Cricetulus griseus: one gene and its partner. The protein of the gene in region 1 interacts with the protein of each later gene in a pairwise test. Links are inferred from orthologs where the notes say so. Each region holds a gene or a part of one and is shown on either strand. Other genes may lie near its edges.

Region 1 (8,475 bases):
AGGAAAGGGAAGGGATAAATGTTGCAATTAAATTATAATATCAAAAATATATATATATATATATATATATATATATATATATATATAATGGCTAAATCATAATGAACAAAGTTGAAGACCTTGGAGTGATACTTAACATAGTGATTTCTTTGAAGAAGGGCAAGATGAGACAAAGAGGAGGAAAGAGAAGTGGATTTATTTTCCACGTCTATATTGTCAGAGCAAGCTGTACTCACATTTGTGTATCTTGTGTTGACCTCAGAAAACTAGCTCATGCTCGTGTTCCTGTGACGTGGGATAATGGCGATGGCCTTCCAGTCAAGCTTCCAGCAAAGATTTGAGAATGAAGAAAATGAAAACTGACACAAAGGAAGTGCTTGGCTAAACCAAACATGGACGTGAAACAGAAAGTGGCACACGGTCTAGGAGCCCTTGACCTGTGTTCAGCAGAGACATTCATAACTCTCTGGTTACAGCAGCTTCTCACTGTACAGATAAAACTTTCTGTAATCCGCGCTTCCTAGGATTGACAGCAAATGGGCAATAGTCCAGAACTCGCCCCGCCCCCAAACCTCAGTGTTAGAGGTTCATAGCAACCTAGAAAAAGAACAGAAACAGGCCTTCGTGGAGGGGTGAGCAGAGTGACTTTACAGAATATTGACTTCAAAAATGTCAAATTAGGCTTCAAGTCCTGATGATACCCATTTCAATGTATTTTGAAAGAGCAGAAGTACTTCAAAATGTTAATCCTAGCATCTCTGCATTCTGGGATGTGTACCGTACTTGACTGCCAGAAAAGTTAGACTGTGTCCAAAGGCTGCATCTGGAGAGAGAAATTGCATTAGGTTTACAGACTATTTTACTCCTTCTAGAGACTGTAAAAGCAAGATGGAGTGTTGCTTCTAGCTTCAACATCACTGTGGCTTTCTTAAAACATGAAAGAGAGAAGATGAGAATTTATAACTTCTAAAGGGGATTGCCAGACAGTATTTCAAACTTTAAAATAATCCACATGTCTATAAAACACACATGATGGTGAATACAGTCTACCCGGTTTCCAGAATGAATGACTGTAAAACATTGTAGTTTTCTAGATGGGATGTATAAAATATGCTCAACATAACTTAAATCATTATAGATGGAAAATGGTTTTTTAAAAATATACCTACAGACTTCATGGCCTCCGTAATATGCATTGAAAAAAAGAACTCTTGCTTCTCTTTTTTTGAAATTATCCACAAAATTATGTCGAATTTATCCATAGGATGGGACAGCTGAGACAGCCACATTGAACTGGCTTCTTCTGGGTGTTCTCTATCCCTGTTCTCCCCATCCATTGCTTTTCATGTGGTCAATGAATTAATTCCCAAAGCAGTCGATACGTTAACGTCTTACCATTCCAATTTGTTCAAATTCTCCTTGTTTAAACAAAAGGCCATTCATCCCTCATTTTGTTTTTGTGTGCTCCTTTTGACTAGTTCCCAGGAATAAAATAACTGATCATATGAAAAAATACAGAACAGTTGCTCTTAGCATCCTTTGTATAAAACTCTAAGAGGCTGGCAATGTTCCACAGTTAGTGAGCCTGACACTGTAGCTTCCACATGGCACTTTGAATGTTCCTTGGCCAAAGACATCATTGCACAGTCCCACTAGCAATTTTAGATGTGAAAGATTATAGCTCAAGAAGAATGTGTTATTTCTTGTTATTGTTGGGAATTTTTCCATGCTACAACAGTGACAGAAGCACTGAGAATATCTGAAAATTCATTCAGTGTAATGGGCCTTTATAGCTTGCTTTAATGATGTTCAGCTATGTATACTTATTCTGGAAGTTTTACGGAGAAGTATTTTTTTAACTATTTCTTGGGGGGCTTTAATTACCATCAAAGTATAAAAATAAATAACAGAATTTCTGGCCAGATGGCATGATTGGTGGTTCTTTTACATAAAAACAGTTTTTAAAACACCCGTATCTGTCTTGCATGGGAATAGTACGTGTGAAATTGGAGCTGTCTGTTTACAGTGCTTCGCACTTAAAGTCTAAGTTCCATCTCCATCAACACTGAAGCCTAAAGCATTCTTTCAAAAGAAAAAAAGAAAATAAAGAATAAAGTTGCCTTCTTCCCTTTGGAGGACACAGTAACAAAACAGCTGGGGGCCAGAAGGCAGAGCCACAGTAGACACAGACTCCTGGACACCTCGAGCTTGGGCTTCCTGCCTTCGGAACCTCAGGAAAGGGGGGTGCTATTTATAAAGCAAGCTATAAAACTGCAAAGTCAAGCAACGTGTGCCATGGTCTTGTCACTGATATGCTGATTTTGCTTACACTGAAAAAAAACCTGCAGAAATCACACATACGGAGGCAAGCCCTGATTTTATTTGGAGTTTTCAATATATAGCATTTCTGTATAAACATGTCCATCTAGATCCTTTCAACTTCCTCCTACCAAACTTAGACCCTTGCTTGATTTTATTAGTTAATTTGATGCTCAGAAAAGGAAACCTCTAATTCACCTGACAAAACAAAATACCTTCATAATAAAGATTAAAGTGTAGACAACGGTGACTGCTCCATCCAGTCACTGCTCTGTAACAGTATATTGCATATGTGTTATTCACAGAGTAGATTTTAAATGTTTTCACCATTAAAACTGATCACAGTTGTGTTAATCAGCTTGTTTTAAACATTCCATGATCTACACTATATCAAAACATTATACTGTATTATATACACGTGTATCTATATACCTACGTCCATTCGGAGCACTTTGTTGCATGTAACCTAACAAGATTTGCTTTTCTTTCTTACTTGCCCTTAGTGACACTGATGGGAGGTAGGGAAAGCTTAGAAACAAAGAATTTACCTGGGGTATAGCAGATACAGTTTCTGAACTGTAAGCCACCCTAAAGAAGTCTACTGGCACAAAGGTTGCTATTATTTGCCTTTTGTTCTGGCAGTTAGTTATACGTTTTCATTTCTCTTCATTTGGACACAAGGAGTTGCAAGAGACCAGGAAACTGTTCTTAGATTTAAATCCCACCCTACAGTAATTAATATATGACAAATGAGGTTGTCAGCTGTTGGGGTTTTTCACGCTTTGTTCCTCCCCACCCCCGCCATCATTCCCACTCCCTCCCCGTCTCCCCTTCTCGTTCTGCTTTCCCTCACCTCCTTTCACTTCTCTTTTTCTTGCTTGGCCCTACTTTTTTCTTTCCATTATTCAACACAGTCTCCAAATCTCCGTTCCTGGCTCAGATCTTGCTAGTTCTAGAGTTAAGACAACCTGAGGCACTCCACATAACCCTCAAGAGGGGGTGGCTTAAGAAAGGGGTTTCCCTAAATCAGCTGCCAGGAGCACATATGCCAGTCCTACCCACGTCCCTCCTCCAGGAACACCCACTACCCAGGCCTCACACTACATCACCAAAACTACACAACTCCCACTCCAGCTCAGCAGAGCCTTGCAGACAACAGCACAACACACCACCCCCCTACAGTATTTCTCCTGGAAACAGCGCTAACCAGGCAGCTACCCCTCCCTCAGCACGCTTCTCTAGCCTCCAAGGACAAGCCACACGTCCCTGGCCTTCGGGTTGGTCCCACCAGGCAAGGATTTGTTTTGGTTGTGAAGGGCGAGTCAGGGGGAGAGAGGTCAAAGCCCTGGCAGTTTTTGCAAACGCGGAGGTACAGAGTTCAGACTGATTGGTAAACTGTGTCTGGCCCTCTGACCACAACCCCAACACTCTAATTCGCAGCCAGGACCTTCACATCTGTGGGTTCCAAGTTTTGGTGCTCCCTGATAGAGCAGAGCAGCCAGGAAATAAAGAGAGAAGGCTACAACTCCCAACCCTCACACAATGTCCCTCTGGAATTAAGCGCAGGACTCTTTGGGGTTTGTTTTCAGCGCGAGAGAAGGGGAGCTGGAAAGGAAAGGAGTAGGTAGGGTGTGGTGATTCCTTGAGGGAAGAAACGGGAAAATTAAAACCCCTGTTGTACTCCGTAGCACCAAACCCAGCGGGAGGGTCCTGAGGCAGTGGGCCCGCCTGCTGCTTGGTTGTCAACCACTGTGGTCGCCGCCGGCTGAGCACGCTGAGCGCAAACACGCCCCAGAAAACCATCACAACCTGTCACGCCCGCCCTGCTGCCCCGAGGCCTTTGACAAGAGGGAGAAACTTGTAGCAGCAGTAGCCAGGCTTGCAAACAGGAACAACGTCTAAGGCCATAACAAGAGTAATAATGAAATAACAGGACTAACAGCCTCCTTCCTCCTACCCGCTAGCAGCACACTGCTGTTTTCCACCAGTCCGCTAACATTTACAGTCGCACGAGACGAAACCCTGCTGGGGTTAATGCCCCAGCCGAGAAACCAGGATTATGCAGAGAAGATCAGTGGACTAGAGGAGCTACAAGAAACCAGGGTCACGGCCTCTATTTGCGGGGTCGTGGTGCCCGCGGGGTTTACCTGTGGATGCAGTTTCCATGGCGACGGGAGGCGACCGGGCGGGGCCGGAGTACAGTTCCCGCGGCGACACTACCCCGGCTCCGGCTCCGGCTCCGGCTCCGGCTCCCGACCCCCAGGCGGGCTCCCCATCCTGCCGCGCTGGCCTGGCCCCTTTCGGCGGTGCTGCTTCGTCCTCCCCCTCCCCCTGGCCCGCGAACCACTGGGACCCGGGGCTAGGCTCATCTTGCAGATCCGGCGGTGCAGCCATGGCTGGCGGTGCCCCCCGGTTGGGCGATGGCGGCTTGGCAAGGCCCGGGTGCGGTGGCTAGGTGCGCGGGCGCTCTCTGCTGCTGGCCCCACAGGGACTTCGGGATCCAGGAGGCTGCAGAGTCTCTGCGCCGCCGTCGCTGCCTCTGCTGCAACTCAGGCCGAGCGGCGGCTGCTGCTCTGGGCGCTTCGGCTCCTCCTTTTCCCCCTCCTCTTCCTCTGTGGCCCCTGGGCGGCCGCCGCCTGCGCTCCTCCCCTGCTCCAGAGGCTGCTTGCTGTGCCAGCGCCGCTTCGCTACTCCCAAGCCTGTTATTACGCAGGTGAAAATGGCCTGCTTGGTCCGAGTCCTCCCCAGTGCACGTCAGCCCCGGGCCTGCTAATGGCAGGCTCTGATTAAGAGATCTGCCAAACCCATATCTCTGCCCTTCATCTGGGGAAAAATACAAGGAGAGGAGCAGCAGGTATTGACTGCAGCTTCACTGATTAGGCAAGAAGTTAAAGCCAGACTGGAGTCTTGGGACTCTAGGAGAGCAAGGGAGGCTAGGAAATCTCAGAACCACCGTTCTGAGAGTGACCAGAGTCTGATGCAGAAAGGACACTAGTCTGAACGGTTACCTGGTGGAGACAGGTGTTGGTGGCAAATGAAGACAGACATCTGCAACCTGGAGATTAAAGCCTTCATCCTTAACAGTTTCCAGAACAGGTTCAAACAAGAAAACAATAACAAAATAAGAGTACAGAAATGGATCATCAGGAGAAACTCCACTAAAAATAAATGAATAAAAAGCTTCCCAGACCTGTGCCAAGGAGCATCGAAAGCAAACAGGGACCCTTCTAGGCATACAGAAGCAGCTGTATCTCCTTTTGGAAGCATTCGGCCCTAGCGAAAGGTATCCACACGACGGGCTGTCTTGGCAGTCGGCTTTACTGGAGAAGTGGGCTTCCCTAGAAACTTCCGCCGCCGCTGCTCTTCCCCCTTTACTGTACTCTCTGATACAATGGAAGACACTTAATGAAAGAGGAGGGGACTCGTCTGCATGTGTTGTTCCCATTTTCAGACCTATCTTTTCAAACAAGCCATGTTTCACTGGTTCCTAAACTGTAACATGATGGGTCCTTTGAAGTCTTAGGTTATGTTCAACATCAGAGTAGAAGAGTACAGTAAATCACAGTTATCTGTTGGCCCGACTCTTTTAAAAGGTGGGCAGGGTGCAGAGAGGGTGTGGAGAGTTCTCAGCTACCATTAGCTTCCCATCTGTCTGTCGGTTTAAAGGACAGTGTCGGCACCATTTGGGTGCTCCAAAAATGATGATAATAAAAATTCCCAATTCATACTAATCTTTCGTTGTACTAGGTAGCAACAAGTTAGAGAAAATGTGGTGGGGAATCTGAAAGTCACCAAAATTTTACATTATTGCTATATTGAAGATTAATTCCTGAGGCTAGAGAGATGGCTCCGTGGTTAAGGGTTCTTGCTGCTTTTCCAAAGGACCTGAGTTTGGTTTCCAGCACTCACATCTGACAGCTCACAATCACCTATGACTCCAGTTCTCTCTCTCTCTCTCTCTCTCTCTCTCTCTCTCTCTCTCTCTCTCTCTCTCTCTCACACACACACACACACACACACACACACACATTTGAAACAACAGTTTCTATGGAATATGTCCATTATCTTCACTGTGATAATGGTTTCACAGTGTATGCATCTGCCAAAAATCCAGTTGTCCCCACATGAAGAAACTGGAGAATAGTCACACTAGAGAATTAACAGCACAACTGAAAGCTCTAGAACAAAAAACAGCAAACTCACCCCAGAGAAGCAGATGCCAGGAAATAATCAAATTGAGGGATGAAATAAATAAAGTAGAAACAAAGAAAACAATGCAAAGAATCGATGAATCAAAGAGTTAGTTCTTTGAGAAAATCAATAACGTAGACAAACCTTTATCCAAACTAACCAAAACAGAGACAGAGCATGCTAATTAACAAAATCAGAAATGAGAAGGGGGACATAACAAAAAATGGACACTGAGGAAATTCAGAGAATCATCAGGTCATAATTTGAAAACCTGTACTCTAAAAAAATAAAAAAATTAAAGGAAATGGACAATTTTCTGGATAGATATCACTTACCAAAATTAAATCCAGAACAGATAAGCAATTTAAATAGACCTATAACCCCTAATGAAATAGAAGCAATTTATCATCAAAAGTCTTCCAACCAAAACAAAGCCCAGGGCCAAATGGTTTCAGTACAGAATTCTATCAGAAATTCAAAGAAGAGCTAATACCAGTCCTCCTTAAACTGTTACACACAATAGAAGCAGAAGGGATATTGCCAAACTCTTTTTACAAGGCTACAATTGCCTTTGTACCCAAGCCACATAAAGACACAACTAAGTAAAAAGAACTACAGACCAATATCCCTCATGAACACTGGTGCAAAAATATTCAATAAAATACTGGCGAATCTAATCTAAGAACACATCAGAAAAATCATCCACCATGATCAAGTAGGCTTCATCCCAGGGATGCAAGGATGGTTCATCATATGAAAATCCATCAATGTAATCTACCATATAAACAAACTGCAAAAGAAAAACCACATGATCATCTCACTAAATGCTGAAAAAGCCTTTGACAAAATTCAACACCCCTTCCAGGAATAACAAGAACATACCTAAACATAATAAAAGCAGTATACAGCAAGCCAACAACCAACATCAAATCAAATGGAGAGAAACTCAACGCAATTCCTCTAAAATCAGGAACAATACAAGGCTGTCCACTCTCTCCATACATCTTCAATATTGTCCTTGAAGTTCTAGCTAGAGCAATAAGACAACAAAAGGAGATCTAGGGGTTACAAATTGGAAAGGAAGAGATGGAAGTTTCACTATTTGCAGATGCTATGATAGTTTACATAAGTAAACTCTCTACCAGGGAACTCCTACAGCTGGTCAACACCTTCTACAAAGTGTCAGGATGCAAGACTAACTCAAATTAGTAGCCCTACTATATATAGACCTTAAATGGGCTGAGAAAGAAATCAGAGAAACATCACCCTTTACAATTGCCACAAACAACATAAAATACCTTGGGGTAACACTAACCAAACAAGTGAAAGACCTGTATAGCAAGAATTTTGAGTCTTTAAAGATAGAAATTAAAGAAGATACCAGAAAATGGAAAGATCTCCCATGCTCTTGGATAGGTAGGATCAACATAGTAAAAATGGCAATCTTGCCGAAAGCAATCTACAGATTCAATGCAATCCCCATCAAAATCCCAACACAATTCTTCACAGATCTTGAAAGAACAATACTCAATTTTATATGAAAAAATAAAAACCCAGGATAGCTAAAACAACCCTGTACAATAAAGGAACTTCCGGAGGCATCACCATCCCTGACTTCAAGATCTATTATAGAGCTATAGTTCTGATATTGGTATTGGTACAAAAAGAGACAGGTAGACCAATGGAATCTAATTGAAAACCCTGATATTAACCCACACATCTATGAACACCTGATTTTTGTCAAAGAAGCTAAAGTTATACAATGGAAAAAAGAAAACATCTTCAACAAATGGTGCTGGAATAACTGGGTGCTGACATATAGAAGATTGCAGATAGAGCCATATCAATCACCATGCACAAAACTTAAGTCCAAGTGGATCAAAGACCTCAACAAATATTCAGCCACACTGAACCTCTTAGAAGAGAAAGTGGGAGGTACCCTTTAACAAATTGGTATAGGGGACT
Region 2 (8,018 bases), on another chromosome or scaffold:
GAGGTTAACACTTCTACTCTTTAAGCTTCTTGATTTACATTTTCCTATTGTCAGCAACCTCGTTTCTTCTGCAAAGATGTTTCTGTGGCCGTATGTAAAAGCATAGATGCTTATTGTTTGAAATTTTCTTTCTCTTTTGGGGGGCCCTGCCACCCGCCTCCCAGGTGAATCACTCACAGAGACTTATTCTTAGTTATGAATACCTGGCCTTAGCTTGCCTTGTTTCTAACCAGCCTTTATTAACTTAAATTAACCTGTCTACCTTTTCCCTCTGGGCTTTTATCTTTCTTACTTCTGTATATCTTACTTTCCCTCTTACTCTGTGGCTGGCTGGGTGGCTGGATAGCTGGCCCCTGACAGCCTCCTCTCCTTGTTCTCATTTCTTTCTTTGTTTTTCCTTCTGTGTATGCTCTCTGCCTGCCGGCATCCTTGCCCCTGCCTCTCGCTATTGGCCAGTCAACGATTTATTAGACCATGAGGTGTTTTAGACAGGCAAAGAATCACAGCTTCATTGAGTTAAACAAATGCAGCATAAACAAAAGTCATACCCCTTAAAATAACATTCTGCCACAGGTGCTTGCTGCAGTGCCCTCTGCCTTCCTCTGCAAACCCAAGCTGACTGGTCCCTATGGGGTACTGTCACTGGTGTACCTCCAAGTCATCCATACATTTGTAGTACCATTCTTTGAAATGAAGATGGTGTTTTTGGTCTGCTAGAAGGTGTTGGTTGGTCTTCACACTCCTGGCAGGACGGCCTTCTGGTCGGAGCAATCCTAAAATGCTATTGATTGCAGAGATGTTAGGGTGGAGATACTGGAGTCCTAGGGCACCTTGTAGTTGGACCCATGAGTACTCCCATATCTAATTACTACCAACTGCCTGCAGACTGGCTGATGGGATCGACCTGCACCGTGCTAAGAAGTATAGAGGAAGAAATTCCACCACACTGTAGAATAACATCTCTTCTGACTGATGTTAACTTGGCACATCCTCTCTTCTCCAATTGTTTGGGTGTCCCTCGTTAGGAGAAGTAGTGTCTTTGGCATGGACCAGTGATGTGAACCTGAGCCAGCTTCTCTGTGAACTGGTGGTGATGGTGTATCTTCTAGTATCTCTAAGACACATTTTTTTTTTTTAACCTGAGTTTTGTTTTGTTTTGTTTTGTTATCTTTCCTTCAACCTTCTTTTCTACCTGGCCAGCTTAACTACCATTAGATATTCCATTTGCCTTATTCTCTTGCTTCTGTGCAGCCTGCCTGCTGCTGCTTTATAGTAATTTCTCCAAGCATGCTCATTAACATCCATTGTCTTTTGGTACATATAAAGGCTTTACCTACTTTAATAGCTCTCTGGTTACTTCTTGGCAGTCTGAGAGGTAGGGCAGTCATGTCGGCAAGAGGGGATATGAACTTCCTGCTTGCACAGCAGGCATCTCACCCACTAAGCTGTCTCCCACAACCTGCCATTCATTTCTTCAGTATGCATCTACTGAATGCCTGCTCTGTGACCCCATGGTTACTAAGCACTGAGGGCACAGCAATGAATGACCAGCATGCAGGGTGCATCTGTGTGCTGGTCTTCATTGGAACATCCATTCTGCTTCCTTCTAGTTTTCCCAAAGTGAAGACTTGTTTTCTTCATCATCTTCCCTTCATTCTCAGGTCTCCTTCTCAGAAAGATGTCAGCTTTGAAAACTCTCATCTTAGTGCTGAGATGTTACACAGTTGGTAGAGGGTTTGGCTAGCATGTATGAAGCCCTGGGTTTGAGCCCATAAACTGGGCATGGTGGTACATGCTTACAATCCTAATACTTAAAGGCAAAAAGATCAAGGTTCAAGAGCATCCTTGGCTATATGAGACCCTGTCTTTAAACAAACAAACAAACAAACAACAACAAAAAACTAAAAAGCAGCTTCCCCTGAGGTGCCCAAACCAATGCTTTTGGGTGTGTCTTGGTTTATTCTGCCTGCCTCTCTTTCTCTGGACCCTTGTGCTTAATTAAGTCTTTATTAAGATATTTAGCCCCAACTCTGCTTCAAAAGAAAAAGAAAGAACAGAAAAATCCCGTTAGAGTGTAGTGATTTATCAGTGTGCTAGTGTGTGCTTCCTTTTCGTTTCTCACCAACACATCCTCTAAAAATAACTCTTGTGTTGTTTTTGATTTTTAGCCGGTTACACCTCAACAAGAAGGCAACAGACAAGCAGCCGTATAGCAAGCTCCCTGGTGTCTCTCTTCTGAAACCATTGAAGGGGGTGGATCCTAACCTAATCAACAACTTGGAGACATTCTTTGAACTGGATTATCCCAAAGTAAGTGTAGTGCTGTGCACATGAGGAATGGACTAGGCTGTGGGGTTTTTTTTGTTTTGTTTTGTTTTTCCTCATCAGAAACATTGGGAATTTTAACACTGTATATAAGGTGGAAGTACTGATGCTTTGTATACATAAAATTAAAGTAAGCTTTGCTTACAATAAGAAAGCTGGAAGGTTTTCAAGCCCATAGTGTATAAGTGAATACAAAGGAAAGTTTATTTTTGTGAATGAAGTATTTTGTTAATTATGAACAAATCTCAGCATCTGGCTTAGTGTCCACATGTTTCTGATGTGGAGTATAACCTCACATTTTGGTTTTGCTGCCATCATCCCATCAAAGCTCAAAGAACTAGTCCCATATGGCTTTTCTCATGTCCTGTAGTATACCGGTGTATTTAAATTGCTGGAAGAGAAAAGCTATGTTAGTCTTCAGTGTGGAATGAGTTACAGCATATGCCAGAGGCAGTTTCTAGTCTAGTCTAGTTTAGTTTCAGAAGTAGAAAGCCAGAGGAATCTGTAATCTAAGGGAGACTTTCATTCTGACAGTATTTTACTTTAAAAACATTAACACCGTGGTAAGCGTAGCACAAAACCATCTAGTTCTTGAGTACAGGTAACCTATTCAATATTATCTTTCAAAACTTTGAATTTAGAGGTATTTTCTTTAAAAACCTCCCTTTTTGTGCTTTTTTTTTTTTTTTTTTTTTCACTCAGAAGTTACCCAAATGAACTCCCAAGTGAACTTGTCACCTGTTCTAGGCCAGCAGCTGTTCTAGGGACTAAGAGTCTAAGTTCAGTTACAGGATTTAAATTCTATTACGATCCAAATATAAAATTCTATAAAACCTAGAGTATGAAGTTCTTTATGAGTAGTAGCTCAAGATATGTATGTGTGTGTATGCGTACTTGAGAGGGTAGGATGTGTCTCTGTAGAGCACTTGCCTGTGGCATGCATAAAGTTCTGAGCTTAGCATAAACAAGATGTGGATTTGGGCCAAAAGCCATAGTCCCTGGTACATAGGGAATTGGAGGCCAGTGTAGGCTATAAGAAGCCAATGGAGGGAGAAAAAAAGGTTATTTTGCTTGATGTGCAATATAATTCATTCACATATTAAAACATATTTTAGGACAGGGTGTAGCTTGGTGATAAGAGTGTGTGTTTAGCATGTACAGAGCCTTGGTTTCAATCCCCAGAACCACCACTTAAAATTTTGTTTTGAGTGGTATTTTTGTCCATCTCTCCAGCCTCTCTTAAAATATCCTAAAGGTATATTTTAACATGTACTGTGTTTTTAATATGTATATGTGTCCAGTCTTCAACATTGTAAACAATACCCCCAAAGTTATTTTAATGTATTAACTAGAAAACATTTAACCATGTCTAGTGTTTGTCTCAGTTATAATTGGAGGGATTGTACTGTTTTAGTACAGAGATTTCTAGCAAATAAAATGTTCAGTCACACCAGGAGGACACAGAGGTGACACCTCGTTACAGTGTGATGCTTCAGAAAACACTTAGCATGCTTCCTTCAATTGGATAGAATTCTTTAAAAAAAAAAATCTGTCATAGTGTCCACTCCAAGATAATGTGAATTGAGTTTTATTTGTATGATGGCTAATTAAAGCTTTTCTTTTTTAATTTTGGGATTAAATTTAAAAGGTATAATCAAGTTTGGAAACTTCAAGCCTCGTGATTGAATAAAGATGAGTTCCCTTACTTAACACATTATACTTTTCAATTTTTTTGGTATGGGACTAGAGAGCTAACTCAGTAGTTAAGAGAGTGGACTGCTCTTATAGAGACCTAAGTTTAATTCTTGGTACCCACAACTGGTAGCTCACAACTGCTCATAACTAACTCCAGAAAATTGGACTCTTAAGGACCCCATAGGTACCTACAAACACACACACAACACACACACACACACACACACACACACACACACACACACACACACAAACACACACACAGTTTAACCCTTCTTGAGTAGCATGTTTGATCAATCATAACTGAAATAGATATTGGGTAAAATTTGTATAAAGAGGTAGAAATCATGAGGGACCTATTCCTTGTTTTCACCATCTTCTTAATTATTGGGACTTTTTTTGTTTTTTTAATTAAAAAACAGAATCCCCACTTTACTGACTAGTGCTTTCTTGACCTTGGTCCTGGTTCTCTCATCGCTCAACCACAGATACCTTTTCTGCCACTTTTTGGTGAGATAAGTTGGATGCCAAAGGCATCATGAATATTTTGTTTCTGCTTCTTTTGTTTATAAAGAAGTAAGCGGTGGGTTTCCTGTGGCTCTAATGAGCCCCTGTGATATAAGCACTTCAAAGTTACAGGACAGTTGTGGCAGGGCCATTCAAGCTCTCAGAAATGCCTTTCTAACCAAATAGCATCGAGCAAAATGAAGTTCTGGGTGTTTTCATAAGTGAAGTATGCTTTTCAGGGTAGTAAGAATTCAGTCAAAAAAAAAAAAAAGAAGAAGAAAACAAAAAGAACTCTAATCACACTTTGTCCTTTATGGGATGTCATTTGTAATTTGTAGCACCTCATGAAGTGATGCTACATTCTAGGGCAAGGATTCTGCAGAATAGGGAGTGTGCTTGGTTTTACTTCGTCTCAGTGTGGTTTTTACACTCCTGCTCGTCTTGTAAGCATCAAGTGTGTGTTCCGCAGTTCAGGTCATGAACAAGCTTGATATGCAGGTTGCCATTGGGGAGGGGCCTGCCACACACTGCCAGGCTCCTCCTGATGCTGACAGACAGGTCCTTGTCCTGGAGAAGCTGTCTCCACCCAAGCCACCCTTGTCATAAGCATCTGTATCGCTTAGGATTCCTCCCTAAGCTTGCAAACTTTATGTGCACAGTGTTTTTTCTTTTCCTTACAGTTTATTAATGTTAATAATAACAACGAGGTTAATCAATGTTAAATTTCTCCTTGGACTAGTATGAAGTACTCCTTTGTGTACAAGATCATGATGATCCAGCCATTGATGTATGTAAGAAACTGCTTGGAAAATACCCGAATGTTGATGCTAGACTATTTATAGGTAAGTACAAAGTCTGTATTGGCCATTTTGCTTTGGTAGTTTCAGTATCAGTGATCTGCTCTGCATTAAACTCAGGGTTAGGAGCTCACTGAGTAAAGTCAGTATGCTTGCTCTAAGCATGTTTACAGGGGGCAAGGGTGGTGATGTGGGGATGGGGTAAATACAGTTCCAACGTCTTGGTTACCAAATGAAACACACACAAATAATATCTTAGTCAATAATCAGGTATGAGTATTTGTTGTTTTGGTTTTTAGGGTTTTTCCTAAAATCTTTTTTTCCCCTTTTTTCTATTTTGATTTTCCCCTCGGCCCATGGTCTATCTATTCTCAGGCTCTAGGCCACCTGAGCAGTGTTGGGCATGGGTTCCATCTCATGGAGTGGACCTTAATTACTTTCACAATTTTTGTGTCACTGTTATACCAGCATGCCTTGCAGGCACGTGTTTTCCTTTTTCTGGTAGTGTACAAAGTACCTTCCAGTACCATGGGCACTAGCCAGTAGGGGTGAAGGCTTGGGGCAGTCAGTCACCGGCTCAACTTCTCCATGTTCAGTGAGTTATGTAGGTGTTGTCTTCAGCAATAGGGACTCATCATCAGTTTGGGGAGAGTAACCAATAGCCTTGGTTTCTTGGAGGACTTTAAGGGCCCTCTTTGGCCAACAACTTGATCAGTTGTAACCCACTGCGCACACTAGAGGTTTCACTGGGTAGGGAGAAGTGTCTAGTTGGGGCTTTGCTCTCCCATTATTTGGTGAATCCTATTAGGTTTCTTTCATATATGTACATATTTTGAGAAGCTTCTACTATATTAGGTTTCCATACGCCCCCTCAATTGACCCTTAGTTTTAGTTGTCCCTCCCATATTACCCATAATGTATAGTATGATGTTTTAAAATATGTGTATACTGTGGAATGGCTAAATCAAATTAATTAACATGTATACTTAGCATACTAATTTGTGATGAGGTATCTTAGCAGTTTTCAGGTACTCCGCACATGGATGTTTTAATATCATCATATTATGTTGTCAAATTAAGCATCAGCCTATAGTGTTAGTGGAAGAATTTGCAAACTAGAAAACAGACTGTATTGTCAAAGATAAAGTCAGAATTCTCCCTTTTTGAATGAGTCATTTTTACAGATACCAGAAATGGGGAATATTTAAAAATTAAAAATGTTTAAATTATGAAATATGGCAGTATTCTTTCTTTCTCTCTCCATCGTGTGTTTTTATAGCATTTTCAGCATTATATAAAGGTGTTGTTATTGTGTCTTTGCATTTTTAGGTGGCAAAAAGGTTGGCATTAATCCTAAAATTAATAATTTGATGCCAGGATATGAAGTTGCAAAATATGATCTCATATGGATTTGTGATAGTGGAATAAGAGGTGAGATTTTCTCATTCTATACAGCTACTGTTCATTTGATGATAAAACGCCAAAAACATTGTGAAAATATATTATTTACCAATCTTTGGTTTGCTTGAAAATTTACTTCATCATTATTTATGGTTTTATGTCAATTTTGCTCACTAAGATTTTAATTTTTTTAAGCTAACCTAGATGTTAAATTATTAAAATGCTTGCATTTTGAAGAGAAAATTCAACCATTAAAAAAGTAGTCATGATTCATTATCCATTGGATAGCCTTGAGCTGGTTAATATTGCTTATTTGTTGGGCACTTTTGCTTGTATCTTTTATTTTACCCAAAAAGTCAGATCAATGATCTCATGTTCCCTAAAATATATACATTTATTAAAAGACAGTCATGTCTTTTTTTTTTTTTTATCTAGATTTTAGCAAGAAGGTTTTTTGTTTGCTTGTTTTGGTCCAGCTATCTTAATGGTTATTTTTGAGGCCTTTTGAGACAGTCTCATTATGCAGCCTTGGAATTCACCATGTAGACCAGGCTGACCTTGAACTGTGACTATTTTGTCTTTCCCTTCTAACTACTGGAGTTATAAGTATAAAACCACCTTGCCTGTTGCAAGAAGCCTTTTATATACCAAACTTAGTATTTATAGGTGTAAACATTTGTGTTAAGCTCTATGGTATTTTTGTCAGATTGAGTTCCTTATCCTCAATCCTAGTGACAGAGTGGCCTGGAGAGTTTGTCATGGAGGAAATGTTGTCATCATGCCTGTCCTCTTACCTGCTGGCTGCCAGTAGCACCCTTCCCCATTCTCAATTTTCCAAATGTCACTTACCAAGAATTGTTCCTGGTTGAGAACCACTACCTAAAATAGGGGAGATTTTTGTATCCTGAAGTGCTGGCTGTTGAACACAAGGCCTCATGCATGACCAGCAAGTGCTTTGTACAACAGCCCCGACCTAACTCTAACTTGGGATCTTTCACTTGCTGCAGTCTCCTGAGTAGCCAGGACTACAGGACTGCATCATGAGTCTCTATTGCCATATGGGTATTTAAAGCACAGACACAACTCTTTTTATTTTATACCATTTAGTTCTTAACAAATAAAAGGAAATAAAAACAGTCATGTAGGATTTGAAGTGTTCACCATTTCAAGGTTGGACATTGGTTCAAATTTTTCATTACCTTAAGATATAAATTTGATAATTAATATTCAGTATTCTTACAAATTAATGAGCAGTGTTACACGTTGAGGATCCATGACCCAAATTCATGTCTA

The links.
Region 2: the proteins of reticulon-1 (region 1) and Ugcg interact in a two-hybrid assay, tested with the Homo sapiens proteins (2 studies listed by BioGRID and IntAct). The link is inferred for Cricetulus griseus from reciprocal best matches to the Homo sapiens genes RTN1 and UGCG.

What each region holds. Positions count from the first base shown.
Region 1 is NC_048598.1:131,032,000-131,040,474, reverse strand, and holds the start of reticulon-1, read right to left. Parts: upstream 4,714-8,475; coding exon 4,467-4,713; intron 1-4,466. UniProt on the Homo sapiens protein: Inhibits amyloid precursor protein processing, probably by blocking BACE1 activity.
Region 2 is NC_048595.1:84,614,427-84,622,444, reverse strand, and holds part of Ugcg (ceramide glucosyltransferase), read left to right. Parts: intron 1-2,168; coding exon 2,169-2,310; intron 2,311-5,266; coding exon 5,267-5,369; intron 5,370-6,653; coding exon 6,654-6,755; intron 6,756-8,018. UniProt on the Homo sapiens protein: Participates in the initial step of the glucosylceramide-based glycosphingolipid/GSL synthetic pathway at the cytosolic surface of the Golgi.